3 linked regions of the Oreochromis niloticus genome follow. The protein of the gene in region 1 interacts with the protein of each later gene in a pairwise test. Links are inferred from orthologs where the notes say so. Each region holds a gene or a part of one and is shown in the gene's direction. Other genes may lie near its edges. The genes, in order: sh3gl3a, rpl35a and atxn2.

Evidence for each region.
Region 2: the proteins of sh3gl3a (region 1) and rpl35a interact in a two-hybrid assay, tested with the Homo sapiens proteins (2 studies listed by BioGRID and IntAct). The link is inferred for Oreochromis niloticus from reciprocal best matches to the Homo sapiens genes SH3GL3 and RPL35A.
Region 3: the proteins of sh3gl3a (region 1) and atxn2 interact in binary tests that used the Homo sapiens proteins (3 or more experiments, as listed by UniProt). The link is inferred for Oreochromis niloticus from reciprocal best matches to the Homo sapiens genes SH3GL3 and ATXN2.

The regions. Positions count from the first base shown.
Region 1 is NC_031965.2:38,966,379-38,977,187, reverse strand, and holds the start of sh3gl3a (endophilin-A3a), read left to right. Parts: upstream 1-6,173; 5' UTR 6,174-6,352; coding exon 6,353-6,397; intron 6,398-10,809. UniProt on the Homo sapiens protein: Implicated in endocytosis. May recruit other proteins to membranes with high curvature.
Region 2 is NC_031979.2:39,855,107-39,865,590, forward strand, and holds rpl35a (large ribosomal subunit protein eL33), read left to right. Parts: upstream 1-5,808; 5' UTR 5,809-5,904; intron 5,905-6,814; 5' UTR 6,815-6,848; coding exon 6,849-6,859; intron 6,860-8,287; coding exon 8,288-8,440; intron 8,441-8,534; coding exon 8,535-8,679; intron 8,680-9,764; coding exon 9,765-9,788; 3' UTR 9,789-9,847; downstream 9,848-10,484.
Region 3 is NC_031977.2:24,314,061-24,325,249, forward strand, and holds the start of atxn2 (ataxin-2), read left to right. Parts: upstream 1-6,675; 5' UTR 6,676-7,318; coding exon 7,319-7,431; intron 7,432-9,116; coding exon 9,117-9,147; intron 9,148-9,577; coding exon 9,578-9,637; intron 9,638-10,004; coding exon 10,005-10,076; intron 10,077-10,708; coding exon 10,709-10,859; intron 10,860-11,189. Other genes in the region: mapkapk5 (MAP kinase-activated protein kinase 5), read right to left, coding at 1,129-1,164. UniProt on the Homo sapiens protein: Involved in EGFR trafficking, acting as negative regulator of endocytic EGFR internalization at the plasma membrane.

The DNA.
Region 1 (10,809 bases):
TTGCCGTTTACCTCGTATGTTCTGTTCACGGCACTCAGTTCTTGGAGGCTCGTTTGTATACCAGAGTTTTATTAGCTGCCTGAGCTCTCAGAGGAGTTCAGATAGGTCTGCAGGCCTTCCTCGGGTCTTTTTTTCAACACCCAACCTGTCGAGAGTCAAATCTGAACGAGTAAGGCTCGTCGAGTTCATAAGTTTTAAGCACCTTAAACCAGATGATCCTCCTGGATCGCCCTCCCTGGTCCCACTTGATTTGTCAGGTTATGTCTGTGAAGGTTCTCAGTCATCCAGGTCATCGTAGTCAAAGGAGTTTGCAAAGAAAAGCGTCTGGACTTCTTTAAGTTGCTTGAAGACGTTTCACCTCTCATCCGAGAAGCTTCTTCAGTTCTAAGGTCAAATGGCCGAGAGTCCCAGATTTAAACCCAGTGGGAGTATCCCCCCAAGGAGGGACAAAGGACCCCCTGGTGATCCTCTAATCACATGAGCCAAGGTGTGAAAGCGGGTGTGGGACCTAATCAGCCAGGGTTTCGGGTGATCTGTCAGGTTACTTTATCTGTACCCGTAGGTAGATTTGTTCTGCAGTCGTGAGTCATTCATCCACACATGAACACTCTCAGTACAGCCATAACAGACAACAATAGCAAATACAAAACTATAATATGTTCATCTGAGTAACAGCTGCTGCTATTTTTAAAGCTTGTTGTTTTACATTTTGGGAGCAGAAACCTCCAGAAGGACGAAACTGAAACTCGCTGTGCAGCGCATGAGTCATCCAGGAAAATTAAACCAGCCAACCGCTGTAACCGTGTGCTGTGCTTCACCAATCAGCTGATTGACTGAGTTTTTTCAGATAAATATCCAAACACCAAAGGAAAAGATCAAACGGATGAAGGATGATCAAATCAACGTGGAAACGAGAGAGGCTTCTCGAGCAGCAGCGCTGCGGCTTCCTACACACAGCGTCACGCTTTGCTTTAAAATTAAACTTTGAATCAATAACTGTTCCAAAATATTTATAACACTGAATACAGGAAAAGAGAGTGCGTTTCCTAAAATCAATGTTCATATCAGGATCATTTTAACTTCCACTTGTTAAAGTAACATAATCCATGTATTTTATTTTATTTTGTAACAAAAGTTTACCATTTTTGCCTCCACAGCTTCCAGTGGTGAACTTCAGTGTCGACACCACCCAGATGTTCTCTGACAGCGATGAAGACCCCAGTTTGGGATGTGACATCGTGCACTGGAACACAGGATGGAGATAGAAACGACTGCAGAATACTGACCAGATGCAGAAATCTAAGTTTCAAAGTATCTCTGCAGAAACCTGAAGGCTTCGACGGTGAGATGAAAGTTTCAACATTCATTTATTTCCCAGAATAATCTCAGATTTTTACGTTCAGGGATGTGACTGCTCTGCTACGCGTCCACCAGGACAGTTTTCCCCTGGAACCAGTCCACTTACAGTACTGTGAAAATATTGCATATAAAAATTTAGAGCTACTCACACAGCAGCACAACATTATCCATATTAATCTTTAAAATTATTGATTAAGTAGGATCGTTTTTCACAGTATTTAGCTCACTGCATGTAAGTAAAGTCAGCTTAGAGAGGCGAGCTTCCCGGCTTGTATACGAGTCAAACATATGCTTTAGCAATAACATTAATAACAACACAAACAGACCAAACAGTACTGCAGTATGCTCATGTACTGGTGGACATAATACAGTAAGCTAAAGTAAAAATGTATTTTAATAAACTCAGATGATCCCTTCAGACTTTGTGAGCTCTCATTTCTTATAGTTGTCACGCATGTCCCACTACGCTGTGCAGCCTGTGTCGCAGGTACTGCATGGTTCAATAGTTTTATGCAGTTTTTATCAGTGTGTGGGACACATGAATGCAGCAGCTCTGGTTTTGTTCAGTTGTGCATTGTGTGGGGCACTCGTGCATATAAACCATGGGCATTCATATGTTCCACACATGACATCAGTTTTTACATGAACACTGAATCTCGCGATGGTGGTAAGTAAAGCTCCACACAGACATTAGAAACCATCACACTGTTTACACAGTGCACCTGAAATCATGAATACAACACTATAAATGGAAGCTGAACATTAACAGTCCCATCAGTCTGGTCAGTTGCGAGTGCAAAAGTGTGCCAGTATAAAACATAAACCATAATAATTATGCACATCTCCAGCCCCAGCATCTATTTATAAATACTGTTAGTTCTGAATGAATATGACAGTAGTGTATAACGTGACTCTCACTGTACTGCTCCATGATGCTGATCGGGTGCTGCTGTGTGGGATTGCACTCCTGTTGTGTACAACCAGGATTCTGCATTCAGGGTTTTTCCATAAATCCTTTGCTAAGGATTTGATTCTTTGGGATGAAGAAGGAAAATCTCCTCGGGGTATTGAAGGGTTTCGTCTCTCTGCAGGTGTGGCGTGTGAGCACTGCGGTGACGAGCAGTATTCACATGATCAACTGAGGCATAGGTGTCGGAGTAAATCGGGGGGATTTCTCACAAAAATCATTTTTCCGCTCTGACGCTCGCTGTGACTTTCTGATGAACTTAAAGTGACAAAGACCAGGAGAGTTTGAGTTTATGTAGTAACTGTCTGGGTGCTGTTCTCTCGTCTCCTGCTGCGTGTGCTCTGGTGGTCTTACCTGTAAAGATTTCAGTTTCATTATAACTGTCTGTAAACTGTGAATAGGTTCAAATGGGCTTTAATTATTGTATTTTCCTTCATAACTCACAGACCACCTAAAATACACTAGAAACACAAACACGTGCAGTAACAGTACAGCTAACAGGACTACAATACTCACTGTAAGGCAACAAGTAACTGAAGTCTTTCTAAAAGGATTTCTGTCAGGAGATAAGCAGGAGACAAAAGAACACAAGAGCCAATCACTGATGAGGAAAGGAAGTGAGACAACGTAAATAAAGCAGGCAACTTCACTGCACATTAATAATATTACAGATACTGGCGTCATTTTGTTATTCAGTTTCTTCTGTTTGTCCATTACGCGTGACTGTTCTTTACACACAGCCACGTTTCCACTCATAGTTTTGCTGCACTTCATTTGCCCCAAACATGGATAAAGCACGTGGAATTGGCGGGATTTGCTTCTCTTTTCCACAGTTTTCAGAATAATGTCATTAATAACATGACAATGTAAAATCTGGCACTGAAACATACAATAAACTGTCTTTAAATTTAACTTTTCACATTTCAAAGTACTTTATATCCACGTGTTACTGTAATCTAAACTTCCAGCTGATAAACAAAGCAGAGGGCAGGCTGACGATCGTTCCTCTCCTTAGCAGCAGGTGGCGCTGTTCAGACGTCTGTAGGAGCCTCAGAGTTTGCACGGACTCTTTTAATATTTCATATTTGGACAAAACTCCTAACATCTGGCTCCACGTGCAGTTATTTAAATAACTTCAGAGGCGTTATGTATTTGTAGTCACGTCCGTTTCTGTTTCACGGACTTTCCTACAATTAAAAAAGGAGCAGAGCGTGCACTGATTGAAATGTTGAACTGAAAGTGAAACGCGTCGCTGCCTCAGATCTATAAGCTGTGTGAACACGCAGAGCGTGATTCATGTTCAGGTGAGACACTCAAATTCCACACAGGAAATACAGTTTGTGCTGAGAAAGAGCCGCTGATGGAGAACAGGGATCCGCGTGGGAACCTCAGGAGGCGCAACTGAACGGAGCAAAGACGCTTATTTACATGATTTACGATGACGTGTGAGCCACAGACACGTGCGTGGGACTGAATAAATAAATATATCGAGTATATGAACGCTTCATCCTGTTTACGAACAGGGTGACATCATCAGTTCTCCCCGCTCTCACCCAATGGTCTTTGAGAAGTGGCGACATCTCTGAGAGTCAGGAAACCCTCTCTCCCGGAAAATAAAGCGAGAGTACGTGAACGCAACTTCCGGTTCCTTCTTTCCAAAATAATACCCACACCCCCGCCTCAGTGTGAGTGTGACAAAACATTTCACACTCATTATTAAATATCCATCCATCCATTCGCTTCCGCTTATCCTTTTCAGGGTCGCGGGGGGCGTTGGAGCCTATCCCAGCTGTCATAGGGCGAGAGGCGGGGTACACCCTGGACAGGTCGCCAGTCTGTCGCAGGGCCAACACACAGGGACAGACAACCATTCACACCTAGTGGCAATTTGAATTATCCAATTAACCTATCCCCACAAGCTGCACGTCTTTGGACGGTGGGAGGAAGCCGGAGTACCCGGAGGGAACCCACGCAAACACGGGGAGAACATGCAAACTCCACACAGAAAGACCCCGGCCTGATGGTGGAATTGAACTCAGGACCTTCTTGCTGTGCGGCAACAGTGCTAACCACCGTTTTTGTGAATTTTTTTTTTTTTCAATAGATGTATGACGTGATAACCTTGAGTTTATTTCTTTTATTTTTATTCTCCTTCGTCCAGAACCTTCATTTTCTTCTTTAAAATGTATTGTTATAGATCTATTTATAGTCCTAATATGCTACTGCTAAGAGCTACTTTTTCGTTTACAGAAATGTGGAACTTCAGAGAACCACATATATGCATATAAAATACGTTTTTAAACCTATTTTTTCCAACAGAAACAGGCTGGACTGGTAATCTGGCATGTCGGGCATTTTCCCGGTCATTTACCCACCGACCCTACACATGCTGACAGCATCCATTCGCTTATTTACATTACCGACACTGCCCAATCAAATCCCTTAACTCCTCCCCTCATGCAACTTGTAAAAGAGAGTTTAGCTTGGAGGAAGTGGTGAAAAGGTCAAAATGTGTCAACAAAATGTGTCAAATTTAGCACCAGCCGAGAAGACGTGCAGGAGGAGGGACAACAGCAGAGTGAGGAAGAGGCAGAGAAAAGTGAAAATAATGTGTTCAGAACATAGAGGGACTAAGTGATCCTTTCTATTCAGGTGCTGTGGAGAGCATCCTCACACAGAACATCACATCCTGGTATGGGATTAGCTGTGTTCAGGACCGAAAAGCTCTTCACAGAGTGATCTGTGCGGCAGAGCTCTGCTGCAGGTCTGCTCTCAAGTCGAAGTCAAAGTAAACTTTATTGTCATCTCTGCTATATACAGTACAGTATATAGAGAGAAGGGATGAAGAGGCTCCAGTTACATTCAGTGCAAAAGACAAGCACTAAATATAAGAAGAGTAAGAAATAAATATACACTTTAAGACTAAGGTAAAGGGATCAATAACAGGATCTCCCTTCCCCTCAGGACATGTACACCAGGAGATGTTGGTCCAGAGCAGCTCGGATATTAAAGGACTCGTCCCATCCCAGCAACAAACTGTTTTTGCAATCAGGCGGAAGGTTCCACACCATCAGGGCAAAAACAGAGAGCCTCAAGACCAGGCCATCCGAGTCCTGAACCAGAACATGCCCCCACTCCCCTCATAGCATCACCATAAGGGTCTTCATATCATATTCTTGTTACACTGCAGAACTTTCACTGTCATATTTCATATCATATCTGATTTAGTACATTGCTCTGCTAATGTGGCACAAAGCACTTTAACATTCCATTTGCACAATGTACACTTTCAGTTTTTTTGATTTAAAATTTCGGATTTTTAATTTGGATTTACTTATTCATCATCATCATCATCATCATCACCTTTATTTATAAAGCACTTTAAAACAACCACAGCTGACACAAAGTGCTGTACATTGGAATCGTATAATAAAATTACATAAGATATAAATAAAAGCCAAATAAATTATTTATTTATAATGTTTTGCACAGTCAGGACACATTTCACTGTGTGTTGTACTTTTATGACAAGTGGCAAATAAAGAATCTTGGAATAATCAAGGATTCACGTAAAATGCACGACCACTTTGATCAGGAGCCACTCCTAACAGCTTCAGTGTGCAACAAAGAAGTAACCCAGCAACAACTGTACCAACCGAGAAACAATTTCAATATCAGGAATCAAACAAAATGAAAAATACACATGCACACATCATATTCTCCCCCTCAAATACATTTTTTTTTAATGTCCAAGTCCAGCCCTGCTGCTCAGTGATGTCATGCATTTATTATCATTTAGCTTTTTAAATCCTCGGAGACCTTTATTTTGAAGGAGTTCCCGGTTGGGCCGGCCTCACGCCGTTGGAGCTTCACTGAGCTCGGGTCATGCTGCAATCTTAACGGAGCTGACTGATGAGTGCGGAGCTGTGGTGTCGGCTGCTTCGTTCTTGAGCCCAGCCTCCGTCGGCCGTGTGTTGAGTCGTTTTACCGGAGTATTTTGTGCGGGGTTGAAGCCGTTCGTCCAGGATGTCTGTGGCCGGGCTGAAGAAGCAGTTCCACAAAGCCAGTCAGGTATGGAGGCGCCCGACAACAACAGTTCGGATGTGGACCCTGATCTCCGCTTTAACATCAAACCGTGAACGGAATCAGGCTGTAGTTGGTCTGAAAACACGACGAGTCTGAGTTGTTATCGCTTAAAAATCGAGGGCTTCAAAACGTGTTTGCAGGGTGTGGATGGAGCGTTACTTTTCCACCCAGATAAGTTGTTTTTTATCGGAGATAACGTCACACCAAACCCTGCTGGGAAAATCTGGTGATTTAATTTAATTTCACACACACGCACAAATCTATTCATCTTAAGCCACAGTTATGGACTTTTTATCAACTTATGTAATCCGCTGAGTAATTCGTCTTCATTATTGTTGCCTTATAAGTTTGACACGGTCTTGTGAAACATCAGACTTTGCTGTTTCCACTGTAAAACCAACAGGAAACACTAACAGAGAAGTACACGTAACTGTATTTATTATGAATGTTTTGAGAGGCTTTAGGTCGAGGTCTGGTTTGATTTTATCCCCTGAAAGGAAATCACACATGAAGCCCGTGTTTAAGGCATCATGGCGATGTTTGTGGGAACTGAGGCACCAGCCAGATGTTTCACACCTGTCACACCTGCGCCACACAGTCATTTAAAGGCAGGTGGAGCAGTCTTTATCAGGTGCATTTCACTCCCGGGCTGTACGGTTTGTGTTATCTGGGTGAAGCTCCATCAGACTCAAATACCTTTTAACGTTACATGATAAAAATACATTGAGCCAGTGGAAGGACCTGCTATTCCCACTGCCACCAAAATACACTGTGGTTTGTGGGCGGCTGTGAGTAATGTCTAACATTTGAATAACATGGAAACAGCTCACAGACTGTTAGTCTCAGTGAACCTTCATCTTCATCTATAAATAAGAATTTGCTCCAGTTATCAGTAGATCACAGGCTGGTTTCCATCATACATAGATACAAGCTTCCATCAGTCTCAGCGGGATTTGCTAAACAGCACTGAATCTGTACTTTTGAATACTTTTGATAGCATGATATGTACTGGTGATGCTGGTTTAATCAGCTGAGCTTGCATGATTTGATCTCTCTGTTGCGTTTGATGCAGCAGAGCATGCGAGAAATATTGATTTCCATCAGTATTGGTGACTGTGCTTGTGGCGTACCACAGGGCTCCATTGTGGGCCCTTTGTCACGTTAGCAGCTGTTCCTTGTGTTCATATTTAAATCACTTTTATGCTGATGATACTCTGATATATCTGCACTTTAAACCAAGCAGAAGCCCCTAATAAACTCCTTCAAATGAAACTAAATCAAAACCTGATGGTATAGAAGATAGATGTAGCTACGATTGCCATCTTGTTGTTTTTAAAAATGATGTTAAAAAGAAGGATTCTGACTGTGAAAGCCGAGAAGGACCAGGATTTGGGAAATGTTCTGAATGTTTGATTCAGTATGTCCGCGTAGCTTCTCATGGTAGTCTGAAGAACTTGAAAAAAGGTGGTGACTGGACTGTTTTAAGAGTTCTTTAACAACCACCTCCAAAGGGGACAACCCCACCCAGGGGTTAAATAGCTGGGACTCTCCACCTTTGTTTTTAGAACTGAAGAAGCTTCTTGGATGAGAACTGAAACATCTTCACAAACTCAAAGAAGTCTGTTTTATTCAGTACGACCCCGAATGAGTCACTGAGTATCGAAGTTTTAACAGAGGTCGGGGCACAGCGCGTTGTGGAGCTGCAGGTATCACCCCGTGGTGGAGATCTGTCATCAAAGCGAGCGTCTTCCTTTTAAGACGTTTATATACATTTTAAACCACTTCTTTCTTGTTGTAACCTTGAGAATGTTATCTCTGCTGTTCTCTGATTTGCCTTTACAGTTTCCGTCCAGCTTACCGTTGTGTTTTTATGTGAATGGTGTAAACTGTTTTTAATCATGTCCCCTGAATAGTTTCCAGCTTGTTTTTTGGTTAAACGTGTTTCAGATCTGGTCTCAGGCTCAGTGGGGCAGTAGAAATGAACTGATTTGATTTGTCGTAGGAAGTGGGACTTGTGTGTTGGTTTTAGTCTATTTTTATTGTGTGTTATGTCATCACAATGCGTCGTGAGAGCAGGAAGACACAGAGGGTATCCCGCGGATTGCATTAGCCCGCTGAGCTAACAGTCAGTGCAGAGGTTTTTGCTGCGGTTATTGAGGCAACTTCAGGTTTAACCCTGTTTGTGAATGTGGTAAACGTCTAACTGGGATAAATCGCCACGGTAACTGATGCTGCAGACCCAACCTGCTCCGATGCACTTATGTTTGAGATGAGCGCTCGATAGGTATGAAGTCACCACTGACTGACCAATAAGATGTCTGGAAGATAGCGTCAGAATTCCTGAAAGTTCCATCAGGCCTCAGAGAGTACGGAGCATCAGTAAGATAAAGACTCTGAGTCACAACTTTATAGCTGATTCTATTTTTTACAGCCCTGTAAGCACTGCTATCTGATGCCACGCCTGTTTGTATTTGTGGACTTTATATCAAAACTCTGTTTACTCACACAGTCGTCACTTTTTCTGCTTCTACTTCCTGCTTCAAATAAACTGCACGCAGCAGATTGGGAAACCCTCACTTATGGACTTATGGACCTGATAACCACCTCGTGTGACCACTTAGCCTGATCGATGATGAAGGGGAAGATATCCTGGATCCTGTCAAAGTCGCTTCATAGTACAGACTTGCAGATGAACCTAAACTAAAACGTTAAGAGCTTGGTGTGTTAGTCTTCTTTATGCTCCTTTGTGCGTCTAGTAGATCCGTCGTTTCCAAAATGAACCTCGTGTTTCATTTAGGCTACGTTCACACTGCAGGCGAAAGCGCATCAAATCCGATTTTTTCGCCCCTATGCGACCCATATCCGATCTTGGTATGACAGTGTGAACGGCACAAATCCGATATTTTCAAATCCGATCTGGGTCACTTTCGTATGTGGTACTGAATCCGATACATATCCGATGTTTTAGAAAGCGACTGCTGTGTGAACTGTCATGTCGCATTAAATCCGTCTTTTACGTCACTGACACAAGACAGACGCCAATTATCAGCGCCGGAGAAGCGCCCGATAGGACATCGCGAACGATTTCTTGCCATCCGGTGAAACTGTTGGGAAGACCACGTTGGAGAAATGTGAACATTTTATTTTTACTGTATTTTCTGCAGATTCTGACAGAAATCTGCAACTATCCTTTGAAGCACCGCTCCTCTAAAACAGCAAAAAGGATCATTATTAGGTTATTTACATTATTATGTAAATAACAAAATAACTTAAAGCAAAAATTTGGAAACATAAAGTCTGAAGTCTTTATATTAAGGGCAATCAGTCAAACAATATTGTTTGCTCTGGGTCTAAACAGAGCGAGTTGTGTGTGACGTCTTCTTTTGCGCATGCGGGCCGCTTTGAGCGTTCACACTAGAGCGCGTTTGATGTCGCATTTTATGTGTAGTGTGAACAAGCAGACAAAAAAATCGGATTTGCTCAAAAAATCGGAATTGAGCATTAAGACCTGCAGTGTGAACGTAGCCTTAGTAAGACTGTAAACTCATCAGCAGGGTGTGTAATGAGCTCAGAGATCACGTGAGCAGCAGGCTCGTCTTCTCATAGACTGTAATCAGATTTCTTTTATAACCAGAGGAGTCGCCCCCTGCTGGCCATGAGAAAAAAGTGCTGGTTTGAGGTAATATTTCCGTCTTTGGTTTCCACCTTCGTGGAGAGCTGTGAGCAGCTCTGCTCAGCCTCTCTTTGAGGCCTGGCTTTGTTTCAGTCAGTGCTGATTTCTTCTCTTTCCCGGCAGTTAAACACTCACAGTGACAATGAGCCGTTACAGGCCTGGACCTGTGTTATTATTATCTTTAGCCACATAACGCGATAATTAGTCAGCTAAAGGCTGCAGCCCTGTGTGACTGTGCGCATGAATAAGAGAAAAATAAATCCATAATAAAGAGCACAATCGAACCTTTTATTCATCAGTGACCGCCTGTGTTCAATATTGCTTTAAAAAAAAATTACTTTATATTTATATAAATAGGATAGATCAGAATAGAATAGATCAGAATAGCCCTTTATTGTCATTGTACATGTGCAACAAAATGTGGGTGCTCCACACCAACTGTGCCGGAACAAAATATAAACAGTAGACAGCAATATGTACAAAATAAGAGAAAGGCCCACATTAGAGAAGACTTGGTCTGAAAGGAGTCCGTGTGTGAGTGATGGGGGTTACTCAGACTCAGATTGGTGAGGTGGGTGGGCAGGCGGGGAGTGGGGGCGGGGGGGGAGCTGTTAGTGAGACGTACAAAAGACAGTGAGGGGGTTATCTGTGGTGTGAGCACACGGTTATGAACCCAGTTTATATGAACTGGGTGTGTTCTCTCGTTTGTACAGGTCATACCAGT
Region 2 (10,484 bases), on another chromosome or scaffold:
AGCCACATCTGCTTGTGTTTGAGCAGCGGTCCAAAGAAAATCCTCCACGTGTGACAAGCCGAAAAAATAAAAGCTTACCACCTTTGACCTTTGACCCCTGGGTCTGAGGTAAAGCGGGTAAGATGATCATCTGATGTAAGAACAAAGAAAAATAACCCAGAGGCAAAGGGGGAGGTGGTTTATTCTACCTGTCAGGTTCTCTTGTGAATCCGTGCAGTTTAACATCTGTGTGACGTTGGTTTTACATGCAGTCGGTCACCTGTGTGGGCGGAGCTTAGAAACTAATATGCGTAATTATTGAGCCCGTGTTAAACACAGAAGACTCAAAACTATAAAACTCTGTTAGGTGGATCGTTCTGCTCATTCCAACGTTGGCTCTCACAGAGCGGCTTAGCGTGAGTCGTGTCATCCTGAGCCTCAGCTCAGCCGCTGTCTCACACAAGCCGGTTCAGCTCCTCCACCTTTAAACGTGCTTTATTCTGATTGGCTGCATCTCACAAGCAGAAGACTTGAACAGTAGATGGGTGGAGCTTCTCTCTGTGACATCACACAGATTAAGGAATAGAAAAAAACTCATAATTCCCAGTAGCTGCAGACACACTGAATTTCCTGTTTAACATGAACATTTGCCATAGAAACAGGAAGTGAGAAAGGGAAAAGCACTTTAATTAAAAAAAAAAAAAAAAGATAAGTATTTAATGTTCTCAGTAACAGCTGATTGATCAATAAAACCTGAAACTGTCCTGTCTCACACTGAGATAAAGTTGCAATGCTACTAAGGGCTAATGGAAGCTAACAGCAGTTTTGTTTTGTTGTTTAAATGACACTAATGTATCTTGTGGCTAATATAGCTTAAAGTTAATATTGGCAAAGATAAACTTATTGTAAGCTACAGTTAATGGCTATCTGTGACCTGGCTAAGATGAGTGTGCTTACTTTAAAATGATAATAGAAATAAAACTATTCCCAGATTACCCGTTGCTAACCGTGACGATTCTGGATTTGCTTCAGTCTGAAAATGTAACTGACTGTTAAGGCTAACACTATTAAAACAGAATAAATGTGTTCAATCACGCCGATCATGCTAGTCATGTTTGCAGGGAGTGAGGCGTAGCAGTCTGTTAACTAGCTGCTAGCTGGGAGACTAGCTTGAAATAGGTAGCTATAAAAGTATCGTGATGAGTTCAGAGTTAACATGAACTACAGCTAGGAAGTGGCCTAAGCTAACGAGTAAGCAGTAATCTAAAATTGAATAGGCTCTCTGCTAACTCTGCGTAAGACTATAATAAGACTAACTTTATGAACTGTTAGATTACATTACTTAATATTATATCTGACACAGTTAGCTTGAAAGATACTGACATTTCAAAAGTGTTCCGAAACTATTTTAACACGGCTAACTGGTAAAGAAAGCTAACACTAATGGTACTCTTATGTCGAGCTAACCACAGAGGGTAGCTAAGATGAAGTCAGGTGAAGGTAACAGCTTGTTTCTAATCTGAAAACAGTCGACGATGGCTTAGTTTATAGCATGATTGCTAAATGCTAATGTTACAGTATTGGGTTTGAGCATGCCCAGTACTGATATTGTCAAAGTAATTATTTATTTTTCCTTTTTGTTTTTGTTTTTTTTAAAGTTTATTTAGTTTTAGTTTTATTTATTTTTTTTTTATGCTTTTAGTTTTGCTTTAGGGGGCGGGGCCACTCTTCTGCCACTCATCCACCTGTGAGCTACTTGCTCACAGTTAATAATAGCCCAAAAGAAGCAGCGAGGGCAAAGTGTGGTTCGGTTCGGCTCTGTTCGTCTCCATCTTTCCTTATTATGGTGAACACTTTCATCTTGCCGCTGATGAAGAGGAGGATGTCTGAACCCTGAACTCTGAATGGCAGGATGTCGTCTCTGTATAGTTTTTACTAATGTCACTGTGGTTTAGGTCAATCATGTGACCTGGCTTTGTGATCACCTGATCGGACCTTTGTCACATGTACAGATGAGGGTGATCGGGTGGTTTCTGTTGCATGCTGGGACGTTTTTCACCTTGTAAAGGTGGCCCGACTGTTGTGTACAATTATATCCTGTAAATAGAAACGTACTGATGATGCTCTGTATATGAGGCCGAAACCTGGGTGTTACTATGACAACAGAGATGTTCGTGTTGCCATGGCAACCATGGGGGGGGGTTCTTCTCCTGTCAGTGAAGTAAGCAAACCGCTGCTGTACTGTAATTTTATTTATAAAAGTTTGTCCTGACAACAGTGATCAAAGCGATACCTGCTTAGCGTCTCACTCCAACTGGAGCTCCAAAAGGCTCCAACTGCACAAACACAGTCAGGAGGTGCAGTTCAGGTGAAGCAGACTGCTAGCAGCTGTAGCCGCCTGTGTCACCATCCACCTTTCAGTCAGAAGCCACGCCCCTAATAATGCAAACAGGTGTCATGAACGGGCCGGACAGTTTGTGTATCAGGCTGTAAACGTGTGTGGGGCTGACTCACTGCTGCCTCTGCTGGACATTAGAGGAACTGCAGCACAGTGAGCCTGCCGTCCTACAGTGGGCATGGCCTCTGTGTACAGTGATGTCACGTATCTGAGCTGCTGCTGCTTCACTGACCGGAGGAGAAGACTGTGTTTTTAATTTAAACTGTAAAGATGAGTAAAAGGGGCTGGTGCTGTGTTCAGGTGGCGTAGGACATCAGCATGCTGACACTACACTAAACACTTGCTGAAGTCTCAGCATGAGAGCACAACTTGAACAACCTGAATTATGACAAGCAGGCTGGGCCCCGCCCCCTGAACCACCTCCACCAATCAGCTCATCTTCAGTGGACTCACCTGAGACCTGAGTGAACCTGATGGGACAGGTGAGGCGGCTTAGAGGTTTCAGACAGGTGATGATGTACAAATGTTTTCTTCTTCAGGCGCTCGTCTTGTGGCAGCAGCGGGTCACGTAACGGGCTGTCAGATGGGCGGCTGTTTTTCCACTCGTGTGTTTTTGCTGTTTCAGTCATAAAATAAATATTATAATATGGCTTTGATGCTTTTATTGTGTCAACACCACACACAGGAAGTGGTGAAAAACATGTGGCCAAAAAACGAGAACGCCATCAGCTGATTGTGTTCATACTGTAAATGTTTCCTATGTTTTCTGTTTTTCTCTCCTTGGTGGTTTTTTGTGTTTCTGTGAATAAAGTAGAAATATTTGTCACAGATGAACGTCACGTCTGCAAGTCTGTTCCCGGGTCAGGGCGCTGGGACAGGAAGTGCCATCTAATATAATATAACACCGATTCATGACTGAAAGTATTCATGACTCCATTGGACGAGCTACGACGTGTCACATCAGGGCTGTTTATGAAGAACAGTCTGACTTTACATTCTTTAATGACACGCAGTGTGTGCTCCCATTGATGCTGCAGTGTCCTGGAGTGAGGGTGTTATTAAACAGCATGGTTTATTACAGTACGTGCAGCAGTGTCCTCACAGGAAGCTCTGAAGCCCCAGGTAACATGTTGCTTTAAACGGTGTCATATCATTCCTTATCAGACACAGTAATCACACCTCCCAAATCCTTGACTCTGAATTTCACATTTATTTAAATTCAGCTTTAATCCTAAAACTTCAAGCACTTTGGCAGCAGTGGAAAGGAAGAAACCTCCGGCAGAACCAGGCTCAGGGAGGGGCGGGGCCATCTGCTGCGACCGGTTGGGGTGAGGGAAGGAAGACAGGATAAAGACATGCTGTGGAAGAGAGAGATTAATGACAGGTGAGAACAGAGAGGGCACCATCATCAGCTCACTGGGTCATTGAAAGGTTCAGATGCTGGTCAGCTGGTAAGGAGCGATGGCCCAGCCCTGATGAAGATGATGTTGATGATGAAGGTCATCTGTTTAAGGAGTGAGGTGTTGATCAGACTTCACGTGTCAGTGGGCAGGCGTGTAACCTGAGCCTCACTCACCTGCTTCACTGTGAGACGAAGCAGAGCTCTGCTTTAATGTGAGGCTGTTCCAGCTCACAGCGCCCTCTGGTGGTGACCTGACTGCCAGCTCCATGGATCATCTTTCAATGTCGAGGTGTGAAACAGAGCTGATGATTTTAGCTGTTCCAAACGCTCTTGTGATGAAAGAGTGACTTTATGGTTTCCTCATTAATGAGTGTTTATTCATCATTATATTGAAGATGCAAGAGCCAGGGAAAGAAGCAGCTTTTACAAGACAACATAGGAGCAGTAAGAAGAAAAATATACATCACTGAAAACAATAAGAATATATAATGACATCATCTTGTTGTTATGGCAGCAGGTAACAAACAGACATCCCATCAGTTATTAGCTTGTGTGTGTGTGTGGAGATGGGAGCGGGGGGAGCTGCACAGTCTGCCATCATCATCATCATCATGACCATCTTAGATGATGACATGAGTGGAACCCCAAAGTGTGCTTTGATTGTAACAATGACATCAGGCTCCGCCCCCTGCACTACTGAACAAAACAAAGTATGAAAAGGAAAGGAAGAGCAAAACAGTAAAGGATATAAAAAGGTCAACATATACACATAAAGTAAAGCATTAGTTAAACAACAAAAACATATTGCACACAACAGCATCTGCTGGGTGGGATTTAGTGTTGTGGAGGCTATGAGACGGAAGCCGGGCCTCAGCCTGAGTTTCACTGCTCTGGTGTCTCCTGCTGATAGCGGCAGATGGAGCAGGTCGTAGCTGGAGATGAGGGCCTCTGCGTTCCTGAGGCAGTGGAGCCGTGCAGCTCTGCGTACACACAGGGGTGATAGCACCTCACGCTGTCGCTGGGCAGCCAAAGGACATCAGCAGTTTCTGGGGAATGGTGTTTGTTCCTGGGGTGACATCGGATAAGACTCAATCCTACTTCATAGTGCAGACCTCAGGTGTCTGCAGGTGAGACAGCTGATGGAGAAGCTCAGAGAAAACAGACTGTAATCAACGTTGGAGTTCTGGGTAAACAGGTAACGCTGCCGTTCAGACCAATCACCACACAGTCACAAGTCCGCCCTCTTATTGATACAATAAAGTCAAATATTTGTATTTTAATTCAATGTCATTTCAAATCAAATCACTTTTATTGTCACATCACATGTGCAGGTACACTGGTACAGTACATGCGAATGAAATTCTTGTGTGGAAGCTTCACAAGCAACAGAGGTGTGCAAAATACAAGAAACATAAGAGCAAGCAAAATATAAGAATGGGAATCTGAGTACAAATATATGTATATGCACATTACTGAATATGTATACTAAATATGTGTGTGTGTGTGTGTGTGTGTGTATACATATATATAAAATTAAATGAAAATAAAATATACAGAGGTGCAAAACAAGTGGCATTCATGTACAGTATGGAGTGCATAATGTTGAAGTTACGGTAAGTGAAGGTGAGGTGTCTATGAAGTGTTCAGCAGTCTGATGGCCTGTTGGAAAAAGCTGTCTCTCAGTCTGCTGGTTCAGGACCGGATACTGCAGAACCTCCTGCCTGATGGAAGTAGTCTGAACAGTTTATGGCCAGGGTGACTGAATAGGTTACATCATCATTATTATTATTATTATTATTATTATTATTATTATTATTATTATCATATTCAATAAAGCACGTTCATGCGGTGGATTTTGAAAATTAACTTTAAAAATATTACATTAACAAAGACAAAAACATGAAGCCATAAACATTTATTATTATTATTATTATTATTAACGTGTGTATTATGAAACTCTGTAAAAGTGTTTTTAATTGTTTCTTTGATTACATTAAAATCTAAAAATAAAATAAATAAAACGAGCCTTTCTATTCAGGCAGCTCCGTGGGCACCTCTGTTTACACTAATTTCCCAGCATCCCTTTCGCTCTTCCTTTTTCTCCTTCTCTTCGGACGCGGTGCAGGTACGAGTCAACATGTCCGCCGGCACATTCTTGAAAAATGCCCGTTAATCTGCTCGGTGGGCAACTGATAGTCCTCCGGGGGGCCGGAGCAGGAGCCCCGGCGCTGCTCGGTTAGTCTGTGTCTACGCTTGAGCTGCTGATGGCGGAGATTCGCTCCGGATAGAGAAGCTAGCCTCGGCTAACGAAGCTAGCCTCGGCTAACGAAGCTAGCCTCGGCTAACGAAGCGCAGGGCCGGGGTTAACCGAGCGGCTTCCGAGCTGCGCGTGCCGGCTCCCGCACACGTGCGGTAAGGAAAGCGTGTGTGGGAGCCCCGGTGCTCGCAGCGGGCTGGAGCTCCCCCGATAAACGCGTCAAACCTGAGGAGCCACCGGCCTGAGCTGTCTCCAATTCTCGTAGTTTCTCGTGAAATAATGAGACGGAAAGAGCCGAATGTTAGGTTAGGTTAGGTGCTGTATGAAGGGAGCCATCGGTTATCGATCAGTGACGGGCTGACCGCAGAATCACACGGATTCCAAACGGCACTGTTTCTGTGACAACCTCAGACACTTGACCTGTGGTCCAAGATGCCTCTGAATAAGTCACGTGACTTTTTACCTGGTAGCGTGGCACATGTTGATTCCACATAAAATGTTTTTTAAGAGCAGTAAATGCATCAGGTCACAGAACAGCATGCTCAGTGTTCCACTTGTAAGGTCATAGCTGACTAAACCTACCTACAGTTATCAGGGCCCGGCACTATAAAGTCGTATTATTGGTTGCCATGGTGATGTATCCTCCTGAAAACACTGCGGGTACAAAGTCTAGAGCTCAAGAAAACATGCTGGTTACCGGCGCCGTAGCTCTCATGAGCCGGTCGATCATGTGATGCTGCAGTAGGTTTTAGGTGTTAATGTGATTGTTTCTGTGCAGGTGAAGTCACCTGAAGAATACCACAACGACCAAGATGCCTGGAAGGTGAGTGCCAATCATTTCACTCTGTGCTCACATGATGTATGTCTGTGTGAGTGATGTAACCTGCTGAAGCTCTGAAACAGGTGAGGGCAGACGGGTGTTAACAGGAAGCGAGTTAACCGTGAGTGCAGAGCGACTTCCTGTCTGCTGTGCAGTGATTCTGGGATGGGTTTAATAAAGTTTTATTCAAACAGGCCGTGATCTGTCAGAGCTGCTGTTCCTCGCTGCAGAGACGCTGATGGTGATGATGTCATGGTTGGAGGTTCACAGATGGAGCGTTTTAGGCTGAAAAAGTACCTGTGTAAACGCAAAAAACAGGGAAACGCTGTCAAGAGCATGCCAAAGCAACAGGTGCCGATGTAATCCTAACATTGTTGAAATGTTGGCCAATCAGAAGCCTGGGAGGGAAAGAGTAAGCATAATTGCCGTTGTTGTAAACAGAGGGACAGTAACTCTGTGTAACAGCAGCAGTGTTTTGTTTCTGTCACTGTAGAAGTTCATCTCATGTGAACAGTAACGTGTCGCACACCTTTGATGTTGCGTGACTAAATCTGTTTTCCTCGTTCACACGTAAACACCTTAGAGTTGGGTCCTGGTTGCTATAGAAACAGTTGAGGGCGCTGTCAGCAGGTCGTTGCTGATGATCTGCGGAGCATGCAGGTGAAGCAGGTGCAGGGTCACGACCCCCGAGCCTCACAGATCGGAGGAGCAGGGTGAAATAACCACAGTGACATCAGCTGGTGGAGTGGGTCACGCTTTGGCTCTGATCAATGAGAACTGGAGTACTGATTGGTTGTTTTTGGATGCTGACAGCAGATAAATTAATACTTGATGTCATTGATCTTGATTGGTCTCAGTCCAGAGCGCCACAGGCCTCTGGGGGTCAGGTTCACCCGTGGCTCCTCCCACTCCAGCTTATTGACGATGTTGATCGTGTCAGCTGTTTCTGGGCTGATTGATCAGTCTGTTTACTGATCATTCTGCAGGTTTGATTGGCTTCAGATGTTTTAAGGTCTGCTGTGATGGGCAGTGTACATCTTTTATTTACAGGCTGTGGACTGGGAACGCCGAGTTTGGATTGGGGCTTTTATTCTGGGCTGTTGGCGTGAATCAGGAACTGAGCGGGTTAACGATGATGTCAAAGAAATACGGAGGGTAGCTTCGTTGTTGTGATTTATTTATTTCCCGCCTCCTGCGTTTGGCGACTGTGGCGTGCAGATTCTGCGTGTGATGGAAGTGTGAGCCGTGGCGGCGTGGATGCGCTCCATCAGCTGATGTCTGGGCAAAAAAGAAACACCATGCTTTGACGTTGGTGAAACCTTCGGTCGGGCTCGGTCTGGAGCGTGAGCAACTCTTTCCATTGGTCAGATTTGGGGGCGTGGCAGCAGGTGGTGGTGGTGATTTTGATGTCTGATGCTGTCTCTCTTTCAGACTGTGGAGTAAGGCCATCTTTGCGGGCTACAAGCGCGGCCTGAGGAACCAGCGCGAGCACACGGCGCTGCTAAAGCTTGAGGGCTGCTACAGCCGGGACGAAGTCGACTTCTACCTCGGCAAACGCTGCGCCTACGTCTACAAGGCCAAAAAGTGAGCTGCCGCACCGCCATCTTTCATTTACTGTTAAGGTTGGCGTGTTTCTAAGTGTGTGTGTGTGTGTGTGTGTGTGTGTGTGTGTGCGCAGGAACACGGTGACACCCGGCGGGAAGCCCAACAAGACCCGTGTGATCTGGGGGAAGGTGACCCGGGCGCACGGAAGCAGTGGGATGGTGCGAGCAAAGTTCAGCAGCAACCTGCCAGCCAAAGCCATCGGACACAGAGTCAGAGTGGTGAGTCACATGACCTCAACAGCTGGGGTCACGACCTCACAGACGCCTCTCTGCTGCTGCGGCGTTTCTGTGTTCTCTGCATGCTTCAGGAGCAAAAGTGCGAACTTTGACCTGCTCCGGCTCAGAGCGCCGTCTGAGCATGCTCGGTCCTGAAGTTTGATTTATTCACCATGAAGCGCCAGCCACAGCTGGAGGCATCGTTTACAGGCGACGTTCTTAATTTATAACATGAAATCAATATGACCGTGAGACTGAGGGGGCGGGGCTTCAGACAGCAGCACTGAGGAAGCTTATCAATATTTGAATAAATGAATAAACTCTAACACAGCAACATGTGAGGAGGCTGAGCAGCGTTTGCACATCATTTCTGTCAGATTAATAAACTCAGATTAGAGCATGTTCATCAGGCTGACAGCCCGCTCCACCCGGCTCCACCCGGCTGCTTGTATTCTGATTCTATTGGTGTGCAGCTGTGAGAATCGAATGTCTTTATTGGCACTATACAGATGTAGAGTGAGATACAGAGCAGCTCCTACTCAGTGCCGACCTGTGGGGGGGGGGTTGGCAGCTCTGTGTACAGATGAGCAGTATTTAGGGAAAAAAAAGTACAAAGAGGAAAAAAATGCAGCTGAGTGCAGATCTGACAACTCCAATTAACCATTGCGTGATGTCACGGCGGGATGTCAGACTGGCTCGGTGTTACAGGAGGTTTAGTGTTGGCGTGTTTGATGATCTCGTTTCGCGGTTCCAAGACAAGTCGTTAAAACCCTGCCCCTTTGTTTCATTGGCTCAGTTTTCTAAATATTTGGCAGAAATGGCGTAGAGTCGTTTGGAGTCACAGCTGGAGGTCTCACCTGTCACAGGTGTTCACTCACTGTGTGACACACTTCCTGTGTGAAACACACATTCGTGCCACTGTTGCCACATCTTCGAACTCGCTCGCCGCTCCGATGCTCTAAAGTCGTCTCAGGTCTTCTCGCCGCTTGCTTCTTCTGTGGTTTCTCCTCCTGTGTGGTAGTTGTATTCTGACGTTCATTTCCTGTGTGTGGTTTTATTGTGACAGTGTACTTCCTGTTTGTGTGCAGATGCTGTATCCTTCCCGGGTGTGAAGCGGAGATGGGGGCGGCTCTTTGTTTGTACAGAAACAATAAAGTGATCAATAATCTGATCAGACTCCCGCTTCTTTGTGTCCCACACGCACACACAGTCTTCATCTACGGGGGTGTCTCACTCTTCCTCTGACTGCAGGGGGCAGCAAAGCATTCTGGGATGTCTTTTAAAGGGTGTGTCATGTCCTGAGTTTGGACTGTCAGGTTGTCAGGACGACGGTGATGATGATGGGGGGGTGTTCAGGTGTGGGTGGTGCAGCACAGTGTGTGATCCCTTTGGCTACACTCTGGGATGAAGTTTGGAATCGACTCCAGGCGTAAGTCTTATATAACCGGACTGTATATAAGCACCTGAAGTGAGCGTGCTCAGAGTGATTGGTCCAGCTGTCACATGGTTGTTTTCTTTTAATTAATGTAACAAGTACAACAATGGCAGCATTTTCAAAGACTTTTTTCCAACTTGAGATAATAGCAGAACAGCCTGTCTTTCAATATATAAAAGACATAAAATAAAATATAACTAAAGAAATTGATAAAATTAAGACATAAAATTTTAACCACTGGGTTTTCTAAAAGCTTTAGTTCATTAACCACGTCATGCAGATCCACAGCTTGTTTTCTGTCAGTTCTTTGTGAGAAGTGAAAACGCTCTTTGTTTTCAGAAATCAACATTTATGAATGAAGAATTTGCCCATA
Region 3 (11,189 bases), on another chromosome or scaffold:
TTTCATTATAACATAATTTTCTGGAATATGTGAAAATTGGCTGAATAAAATATAACTGTTGCAACACTTGACAATGTTTTACTACAGCTTGACAACCAGGAAAGTGCTATTTCATGTCAAGACACTATTAAAGTAATCCAAAAAAAGATATCCTCTTATTTGGTCGAGGTGGCGTATTCGGCCGAAATCTCCCATAGCGGTTTAACTGGTACTAGACTTGCTGACTGTGAAAGCCATAGCATATGATTCACATAATGTTCACACTCAACAAACCCTATGTTTGATGAATGTGAGGTTTAGTGAGTCACTGGTGACTCACTGAACCAAAAGACAGAAGCACTGTCATTCTGGAAAAACACCACTCCATTTAGTTTCACTAAGAGATAAATGGAGTCAACAGAACAACTCTATTGATTTGCAGTGACTTTTCATTCTAAGGGGACCCAAATGATGTCAGCAAACCCCCACAACGTAACAAAGTCAACAGATCTCATCGCTTTAAGAGGGAGTCCAGGGTTCTTTAATCACGCAACTTGAAGGAAGAGTGATCAAAAACTATGCAGATTTGTAACGCTTTAATACATTTTATTTTTTCTGGAGCAAGGAAACGTGCAAGATTATTTCCCAGCATTTGGTTTAATGTGCCAGGAAATTGATAAAACAGAGTCAGGGTTAAGCCGAAAGCTACTCAGCGAACGTGTGCTCGAGTTCTAGAGTACCTCTTGCCCAACCATGAAAACAGGGGCCAGGACAACTCCAGATCACATTTTACTGTTGACATAGATGCCAGGGCAATGACACACTGAGGGGAGCCAGCCAGGATCAACCCCCAGATCCAGTTTGCAGGGAAATATGGCTGGTTAATGATCATGACCATTGTTAAATAGGTCTAAACTGCAAAGAAATGAATATTATGTTTTTTTAAACATGTTCTACATTTCTGCCATGCATATCACACATAAAACTCATCTGCTGTCAATAAATATGAGTTTATGACTGTCTCATGAAATAAGATCAAACTGCCCTCTTCATGTAGCATGCATTGAGCAACAGCTTTAAAAAGATAACAATATTTCCATCACCTGTGTGGACCAGTAACCAAGCAGAAGAAGTGTCATTTTAGGTTACCTTGATGAATTTGTCTGCGTTGTTATCCTCCGACATGGTTTTGTGCTCCGGACAGATGAAGTCTGCCTCCCCAAACTCAGACTGAACACAGTGGAAACGAAGTGTTTGTGTCTTGTCTGACCTTTATAAAGTACCCCGGGCTGCACCAAGGCTTTCTATACTTCTAGTTATAACAGGAAAAGGCCATCGGGGCAAAATGATACTCGGCTACAGATCAACCAAAGCCGAGTGCCGTTCCCTTGGAAAACTGAAGCCCAGCAGCTGGTACGATTTAACGTTAGATCAGACCAGCTCGGCTCACAACCTCGGGGTCCGACTCGCTCTTCCAGTCGTCTCAAATTCACTGTAGTGACCATGTAGAGGGGCAAACTGCGAGCAAGGTGACCAGAAAAGAGAAGTCCAACAGGGACAAGTCCAGCACTTTTGGAGGCGCAGCGAGCAGGGGGACCTTATAGTGGTATTTTTAGCCAGCGCAGTGAGCGCAGTGCTCTGCTAACGCTGCGGAGACACTGAAGACTGGCCAAGCTGCTGTATGCTGCTACATTTCACGGTGAAAGCAGCCGATTACATAACAAAGACAACAGTGAACAATACGGCGGAACGAAGATACTCTCTGAAAATTAGTGATAGTACACTAGGTGACACCTGGGTTGATCTGACAAGAAGAGCACACCGCGTTCTCAGCAGCAGGACAATCTATTATGTCGTCGAGCCTTCTGACACGCTAGCTAACGAGCTAACTGAGTCGCGTCGGTTTTCCTGCTCCAGTCAAAGCTAGGGATGTTAAAATTCTCAGCAGACTGTGATAACTATAAGAACTCGTATGGAACAGCAACAATACATAGCAGATGACAGGAGCTATCGGAGACTGCATTCAGCGGTGGCCAAAAGATATCCGCATCTCTGGACTGTTTTGCTAATCCCATAGGGGTCTTGCCAGAGCAATACGCACAACGCCTGTCCGAACAGAACGCCTGATCAAAATTATTGACAACATTTCTAAATTTGGACAATATGTGAGGCTACACGTTTTAATCTATCACACACTACGTAATTTTCGGCGTATAATACATGTATTTGTATTTTGTATTTTTGAAACAACAAATTATTTTTTACAATCGAATACGTTTGAACTGGATACACTGTAATGGGTCCTTATAAGGACCTAGTTTTCAATGCGGACTCAAGTCCCATAAGCAGCATTGTAAACTACCAATTACTTAACAGTGGAAGAAGTTGAACTACAGCAGAACTACCCCTGGCGGAAATATAGTTAAGCTCAACTTAAAAATCTACACATTATAGGAAATTATATTATATTTAAAAAGTTAAATGCCAGAAAAAAACAAACAAACAAAATATCAACCATCACACTTTAATTCATATCAGAATGTGCTAAAATTAATTAATTAAGGTCATTTGTAAGACACCTACCTTCCAAAAAAAAAACTATCCCCTCAGGTGGAGGATCCATCAATGCTTTTACTGAATTGGAAATGTGTTTGGGATCATTGTCATGCTAATGGTACTGGACTGATAATTCCATCAATTTCCAGAAGATCCCAAACACCACTGGCTGAAATGCAGTCTCAAACCATAACAGAGCTTCCAGCGTGTTTTACAGGTGGCTGTAGATATTCACTGTTGTACCTTTCTCCTGACCTCCTCTGTACATATTCGTGACAATTTGAACCAAAAATGTCAAATTTAGACTAATCATTCCATCAGACCTGTTGCCACCTGGTTTCCATCTAGTTCTTGTGTAATTTGATATACATCAGTCTTTTCTCCCTGTTTTTCTTCTTGACAGGCACCCTTTAACTGACAGGCCCTCTGGTGAGGGCTCAGCAGACCAAATGCATCTCTTAAGGACCAGATAAATCTCAGGTGGTCTGTGTCAGATCTTTGCTGCATTTCCCCCCATATTTCTCAAGGACATGATTTTCAGATACTGTTCATCAGATGCAAACAGTTCTTTAAGCCCGTTGCTTTTTCTTTTGTCCTTCCCCTGTCCAGTTTCCTCAGTATGCACACTATACTGAGAGTTGCCACATTTTCAGCGTATCTGTCTTTGGTAATCACCTTCTTTGGCATTTTTCATAGATTCAACAAAAGAAATGGGGGCAAATTTTGCATTTTTGTGAAAGGCTGCTAATAACAAAGTCCCCAAAGGTACAATTTAAAATTGGTTCTTTGCTAAGATGGCTGTTATGTGTCGACACATCACATTGGTCGGTGTTAAGTGAAAAAATACTTAGTGGGAAGAATAAGAGAGCCTGGATAACTATTGCTCTCGACCACTTTAAAAATGCTAAGAAAGTCTGGCTTTGGAAGTAAAATATAAAGAAACGAGAGGTGGGTTTGTTTTTCTGAAAGATTCAATGTGGTACTTTTGTACCACATTGAATCTTCAAGAAAAGCTAAACAAACTGTCCGAACAGTTTTTGTTCTACTTGAATCACTCTGCAAATGCAAATGTAAATTAACCACAAGCAAATTATTGAGAAAAACTGTTCAACTATGTAGTGTTCTAGTGCCCAGGACTATCCATAAAGTGGTATGTAACTATGCGTGAGTGGCAAGTTTGTATGAACAGCTTATCTTCTGTAAACAAAAAGCTATTTATCGAATGCTAAATGTTTTTTATATTTACTTTATGTACATGTTATTTACCTTGTGGACACATGATTATATCTAAATGTTAATGCATGTGCACATTATAATTTACTACAGGTCTATATGTCAGTAACAGTGTCAGAAAACCCAGCTAATTATGTTTTCTTCGCACCTCAGAATGTCATACAGTGAAATCTATGCTGCTCAAGCACGTAAATAGGTGGAAATTTCTTGCTACACCACCTATACTACTATACAGTCCTTTAGTTAGTGCTCAAGTTATGTGCAAGAGAAGAAGGAATTTTATTTTATGACCACCCAAGGTGAAAATAAAACTTGATAAGTGGAGTTATCACCATCACATGCATTTGATGGTGTTAGGCACTTATGGGCTTTTATTTAGTGTGCACAAGTTATCTTGTAAGATTATAACTTGTCCAGTCAAGATAAGAAACATCATACCAGAGAATCCATCCCAGAGCAAGTACTAACAGCATCAGAGTATTGCACAGCACTGAATCATTCTATTTACAATTCACCAAATGTGTTTGTCTGTGGGTTCTTTGCTGTGTCGGGTAGATGAAGAAAAATAAATGGAACAAAGTAATCACAGCAAGACTTTGGGGTGGGGTTTTTATGTATTTACTATTTTTAACTAAACCATCAGTTGGGGGTACATTGTGGAGGACAAAATGGGAAAGACTAAAGTGTTATGACAAGATTAAGGAAAGGTCAGGTCATTGCAATTCTTTCTTTATGGTTGAAAAGCATAAAGCATTTTCTCCCTCTCTCACTTTTTTCTTTTTTGAGAATGGTTAGATGGCAGACCTTTGGGCCACAGTCCAGCTCAGATAGTGGTAGTGCAGCTGAAAGATGTTTGCCAACCATAATAAATCCAAAAGAGGAAGACAACAGAAAAATAGCACTAAATAGCACTTGATAGGCATACACTTTGTTCAGGATAACATCTTCAACAACAGCTTCAATATTAATACCATTTTAATAATTTACATGACATAAATATTTATGAATCTCATTTAATCCACATGCTACAACATTAAAGTGGCAAATGTATCCATCAATACCTACTTAAAGGACTATGTTTATCTCTTATTGTTGGTCTTTACATATGTTTCAGTTCCATATAAATTATGAAGTAATATCTTTTGATTATTATAGAAAAGAAAGTCCTGGTATTTCTTCATGCAGTGACTCATTATGTTAGACCAACAGGTCAAACCTTTGAACTTTTCTCAATAATATATTTAAGATTTGACAGTGGAAATTTTAAATGAAAAACAGGACAATGACAATTAATATTATTTATTTAAAAAAATATTGGAAATAAACTTCAGACACAACATCCACATGTTATGAAAGTCTTTTTTCCCAATGTTATTTATAATATTATAACATTATATTCATTTTTCATTTGATCAGAAATTAGTCTCTCTTTCTACTGAAAAAGAAAGACAGATGGAAAAAACCCAGGAAGATCAAAAGCAACATTCAAAAAATTAGAAGAAAATTAAAAAATGCTGAATTATGACTATCAAAATAAGTGCAGCATGATCCTAAATTGAATAAGGAAGAAAACAGATACTCGAATGAAAATCCCTTGCAATGACTGCCTGAAGTTTAAAACCCATGGACATCACCAAATCCTGTTTCCACACTTAAGTTGCTCAGTTAGGTTTTTACTGCAGCCACCTCCAGTTGCTCCTTGTTTGTGTCGCTCTGCCCTTGAGTAAGTGAAAAGCATGCTCTGTTAGATTGAAATCAGGTGACCAACTTGGCCACTGAAGAATATCACATTTATTGCTGTGAGAAACTTTTAGGTTGCCTTTGCAGTAGGCTTTGGGTCATTATCCATTTACATTCCAGTCAGTCTTGCACTATTTCTCTTTCTATTTCTCAGTTCCACTGGCAGCCCATACCTGCCCATGCAACAACATTGTCTCTACCATATTTGACATTGTGGGAAAATGAAATAAAATAAAATTTAAAAGGTATAGAAATGGGCAAGAAAACACAATTTTCAGGCTCATGTGCAGCCCTGGTTCCTATTGCAGATTTGTTTTGTATAAAGGGATGCTGCAAAAGAATTTAAGCACAATCATGCACTGCATAAATGTTTTGCAAAGTGGGAAAAAGTATTTAGACTTGTTACGTAAGTAACAATTCTAACTTTGCTTAACTACCTTAATAGTGCACAGGGTGTATAATTAAAATATATAAGTACACAAAGTTAAAGGACTCTCATTTTTTTGGAATGGCGTGTTTCAAAAATCATTATTTTTGACATTAGGTGACATTATTGAATCATTAGTATTTATTTTTTGAGGTTTAAATCACATTATTATAGATAAATCACTTTATATTATCAGTAACTTTATATAAAATAACAGAATTTATTAGAAAAACAATAATAAATTAATAAAGTAACTAATAGAAATAGTATAGTGTATTACAACTAATTACATTCAATATATATTGGAGTAAACATAACATAATAAGCAGCAAAGCATGAAAAAATTATATAAAGTACAAGAAAACAACTTTGGAAAGGGGGGTCAGATCTTAGGGGGATTGGTGCCACCCAATGCCCCTCTCCTAGACACGCCCCTTAGCCCTACTAGTTAGTTTTCTAGGTCTATTTATTTTATTTTACTTTGTTTTTTATTTGATGAAACTTTTTTTTATCCCTACTTTGTTTTAGTTTAGTTTACTAGACTGAAATCCTCTTTGTACAGCTGCCTTGTCATATCAAGATTGTGGAAGTTACACCAGTTATTAACGAAAAATGGGACTATCTCAAAGTGACCCTCCAATCCTGCTAATTGGAAACCTTCATGCTGCAGTGGATGCTAGCCATCACTATGCCCACACCCGCCGTGTGTGTGTGTTTGTGTGTATGTTAGTAGTGCGTTCGCCGGCTCACGTGGATGACACTACATAGTAATTGAAAATTCATGGACTTCCTGAAAATAGTGCCATGATGTAACTGTGTCGCTTTTAACACAAATGTCTGCATTGGGTTTTTACGTTAAAAATGGTCTTGTTCATCTGTTTACAAGATTAATAGTTTTCAAATAACACAGCGTATAAAAATATAGAGTGAAGTGTTGCGAGCCGTCACGCCTCTCATATCCCTCCGCTGTTTTTGTCCCCCTTTCAGGCTGTTTTGGTCTTTTCGCTGTTAGCAACGGAAAGAATCCGAGATAGCTGCAAACCCGATTTTGAGATAATAATTATATAACAAATTGACAAGAGGTGTAACACACATGTTCATTTCTGAAAAGTTACTAGAGCGTGTTGTCTTTTTAAAATATTATTTTTTTCAGTTTTAATAGGAATTGTACGGGTCGCTAATTTAGCTAGCAACTGTTAGCCAGGCTAGCTGCTTAGCAAAGCATCCTCCTGAACAGGCACGTTGACTTTAGCCTGCTGGCTAAGCTAGGTCTTCGGATTGCCCAACGTTAGTGAGGTACCGCACAACCGCACACCGTCTCAGCGTCAAGAAATTGCGGCGTGAAACTGGTCTGTTAAAGACGCTGTCTTTTATGGGATCACCATGTCAATGAAGGCCGGTGGAAATCGCAGCAAGCCCGGCGGTGGTAGCACCGCTGGTGCAGCCGCCGCCTCCGGTGCCGGAGGAAGCGGCGGGGGAAGACCGAATCTGGGCAGGTATGTGAAATTAAACATTAACATAGCGAAGCAAAAACACAGCAAGGAGGGTTGGTTTAACACGTTTTCGATATTTGGCCATAGTCACTGCCAAACGGTAGCGGTTGTAAGAGATGACATTGCCGTTAAGTGGTCCAAAACTAGTGCGTGTTTGTGAACGTTGTGCGGGCCTTGCGACGTGTTGGTCAGCCAGTTGTGCAGTTCAGCTAGCGAGGCCTGCCTGTCTGTTTGGTCCAGTGCTGTTGCAACTTTCGACGTGACATTACCTGCTCTGGCACGTTAAATCAAACATGCCACCACGAGGTTGATTTTGCATAAATACATGTTCGGGTGGACATTTATCTTTCCTCATATGTGTGTAGTACTAGTGACGCTGCTTGCCAAGTTGCTGATATCAGTTTACTCTAAGCTTGAAGCCAAGTCAGCTAGCGTTAATTAGCCAATTGACAGCCTATGCTTGCATTTCAGTTTTGTAACAGTTGGCTAATGGGGGACACGCAACTGCATTTGTTGTGTTTTGGCTGCCATGTAGCTTTGTACGTTACCGCAACATTGCTGCAACGGGGTTGCCAGGAAATGGATATAAAGCGTGTGGGCGCTCAGAAGAAAGGGGCGGGTGTGGAAACGGGGGTGAGGTGGAGGAGGAGAAGGGGGAATTACAGACCGACTGGCTTTCAACCTTGACGTTGCCATTGCTGTTCGTGAGAAATAGTGTCCTTGAGGCATGACTTTCTCTGTACACGTTGTCCCAAGATGAAGATAAAGCACACTGTCAGTGCATGAACAGCATGCATGCTGTGATTTTTGGTGGTCAGGCTGCTGTTCACCGGTCACTAGGACAGCACGCCCCATTCATTGCGTAGGATTCATCGTGAAGATGCTATAAATGAATATTGGACCAGTTTATAACCATGCTCACAAAACCTGCACATTACAGCTCAAAATGGCATGGCAAAGTGTGTTTTAGAAAGCTTAGGGCTGATTTACTGCAACGGATATAATATAGGGGTTAGTGGCCATTGCTTACGTTGAATGGTTGGTTATGTGCCAGCTGCTGAACAAGGTGCATTTTAGGACATGCCTGGGAAAACTGTTAGCTGCTGAGTGTTTGGCTCGATTGCATCACAAACATCATTATTATAAGCATAATGTTGTGGAGACACTGGGGAAATTTCAGAATTTACATTGCACATTGATCAAGTAAGATGGCTGTGTTGATGGTTGTGGTGATGTCTCCACAGCTGGAATCGATAGTGATGGTAATAAATCTTATATTTGATAAAACCAAAGTGATTTCATTTTCATGTCTGCAGCTGCAAACATTTCACATGTGCTCTTCAGTCATCATCTCAGTAAGCATCATTATAAGACCCTCATGTATTCTTAAACCTGGTTCTCTGTAGTTTGCTACAAGTGATTGTAGTATGCAGATACGTGCAGTATGCTTTGAAAGTATATTGTAGAAATGAGGTTAAGGTTAAAGCAAATTATATAGCTTGTGTTGATCAACTTCAAGTGCAGTTCTGTATCATCTTAATCACTGCCTCTTATGATTTCTCTTAGTGAGTTGCACATATCAGAGCATGTGCTAAGTGAAGTCTTTATTTATTTTATTTTTTACAGTTGATGGTGAGTTTGACAACAATTTAATCAAAATGCGATTTTTATTTTTTTCTGTCCCTCAGGGGGAGACACAGTGGCAAAGGTCCAGCAGCAGTAAGTAACCTATTATCTCTCATATACATTTGAGAAACAAAAATACCTTCAAGCTTGAGTATTTTAAAACACACTTAAAAAAAAAAAAAAAAAAAAAAAATACAGATTTTTGAACATAGTGATGGTGTTTTTCCTCTTGAGGAAGGCATAATGTCATTGGTGGGCACCAGAATTTTTCTTATGCAGGAAAAACCCTCACAATGCTTTAACACTTCTTTTTCTTCTTTCCTTGTCAAGTTTTTGAAAATAGTTTCCTGTTTTTAAAGCATTTTAACGCCAGAGAAAGCATAAATCCAGATATCGCATATGCCTTTTTAATTGCATTAAGAATGGAACAAGTTTATTGGTATTCCACAGTGATGAGACATTATTTGGCATCTTTTTTGTGCTCAAAATGGGAGCATCAAAATTAATTGTATCTTTTCTTTAGGTCATTTTCAATGGTGTATATGCAAATATGAGGATGGTCCATGTCTTGACTTCAGTGGTGGTACGTTTACTGTGTGCCTACCTTGTTCCTTTTTTTTCTGTGTGTAATGATTATAAGAATATGCATAGTTGTAAAATTCCTTGGATGAAGCAGCCATGTGAATCATGCTTACTCTAAGTGAATTAGTAAGAACAGTATTTACTGCAGTCTGTTTTACCACATGCTGTTTCTTCAAATTGTTTACACAGCACTAAACAAAGCCTGTTTGTAGAGACAGCTGGTTGCATAAAAGGAAACCAGTGATTGATCAATCACTGGTTTGCCTTGCAGAAAAATGGGTTTCTGAACTTATATTTTTTAACATGTAAATTAAAATTTGTACTGAACGGCACATACCGTATATAACGACAAGCCTCTTTAATTGTAGGGGACCAAGTGTGAGCTTAAAGTGAAAAATGGAGCCATCTATGAGGGAGTATTTAAGACCTACGGCCCAGAGGTAAGGCTCATGCATAATGTGGTATTCTTTATTGTGCCAGTATGGAGGGAAATCTGTTACTTTCTCACTAGCTGAATATGATTAGGCTTAAATGTGATGGAGTCTTGCTAGCACTTGTTAGTAGTTTCACCCCTAAGGTGGTTTAGACCTGCATTGCTTTTTCTGATATGTGAGCCTTTACCTTCCCTTTTAGGTTGAATTATTTCCTAAAAATAATAATCATAAGTAAATTTGAGGTTTTCCTCTAATTCAGATCTAAGCTAGTATGCTGATGCCAAGATTACACCAAGTAGTTTAATTGATAAGATCCTCTTTTATGTGATTTATTTGACTAATAGTTAAAGTAAGCCCGCTACAATTTTCCAGATCTTTAATTCATAACCATACACCACAAATCTTTCTTGTGATGCTTAAAACAGATCACTTGAGATTTCTCAATATGTTTTAGTTTTAGGGTTGTTCTTGAGATTGTTTATAGCTGTTTTGTTTCTCTAGCTACTTGTGGAGTATGATGAGCATGAAAGAGTTCATTGTCCCAGTCTCCTGTGTCCATAGTTTCTTGTGTCTTTTGCAGATAGTGTTTTTTTATTTTTTTATTTTTCTGTGTTTCAAATTATATTTTTCTCCCTCAGTGTGACCTGGTGTTGGATGCAGCCCACCGAAAGAGTACAGAACCGAGCACAGGGCCCAGGAAAGAAGATATTGTAGAGAGCATCATTTTCAAGGCTTCTGATGTCGTAGTTGTGAACTTCAAAGATGTGGACCTAAATTTCGCAAGGAAAGGTAGTGTGGTCATATTTGTATTTTTTTAGTTATTGAAACTGGAGATGTTATCTTGCGCATATTGAAAACTTATGGATGATGTACAGTGTTAACTGGGTGAGTTTGTCACACTGTTCATTTACACATACGAAAATATAAACGTATGTCAGTGAATTCCCATCTTTGCATACATACAATGTATTACCCTTCTCAGTCTTCTCTATCTTGATGTTGCAGAGGCTTTTCTGTGAGTTAAGTCTTGTGTGTCTGCTCAGAGTGGCCAGTCACTGAAGTCTAATTTGATCTATCGATTGGTCCAAAGGTTACCCTAGTGCGACAAGGACACTCAAT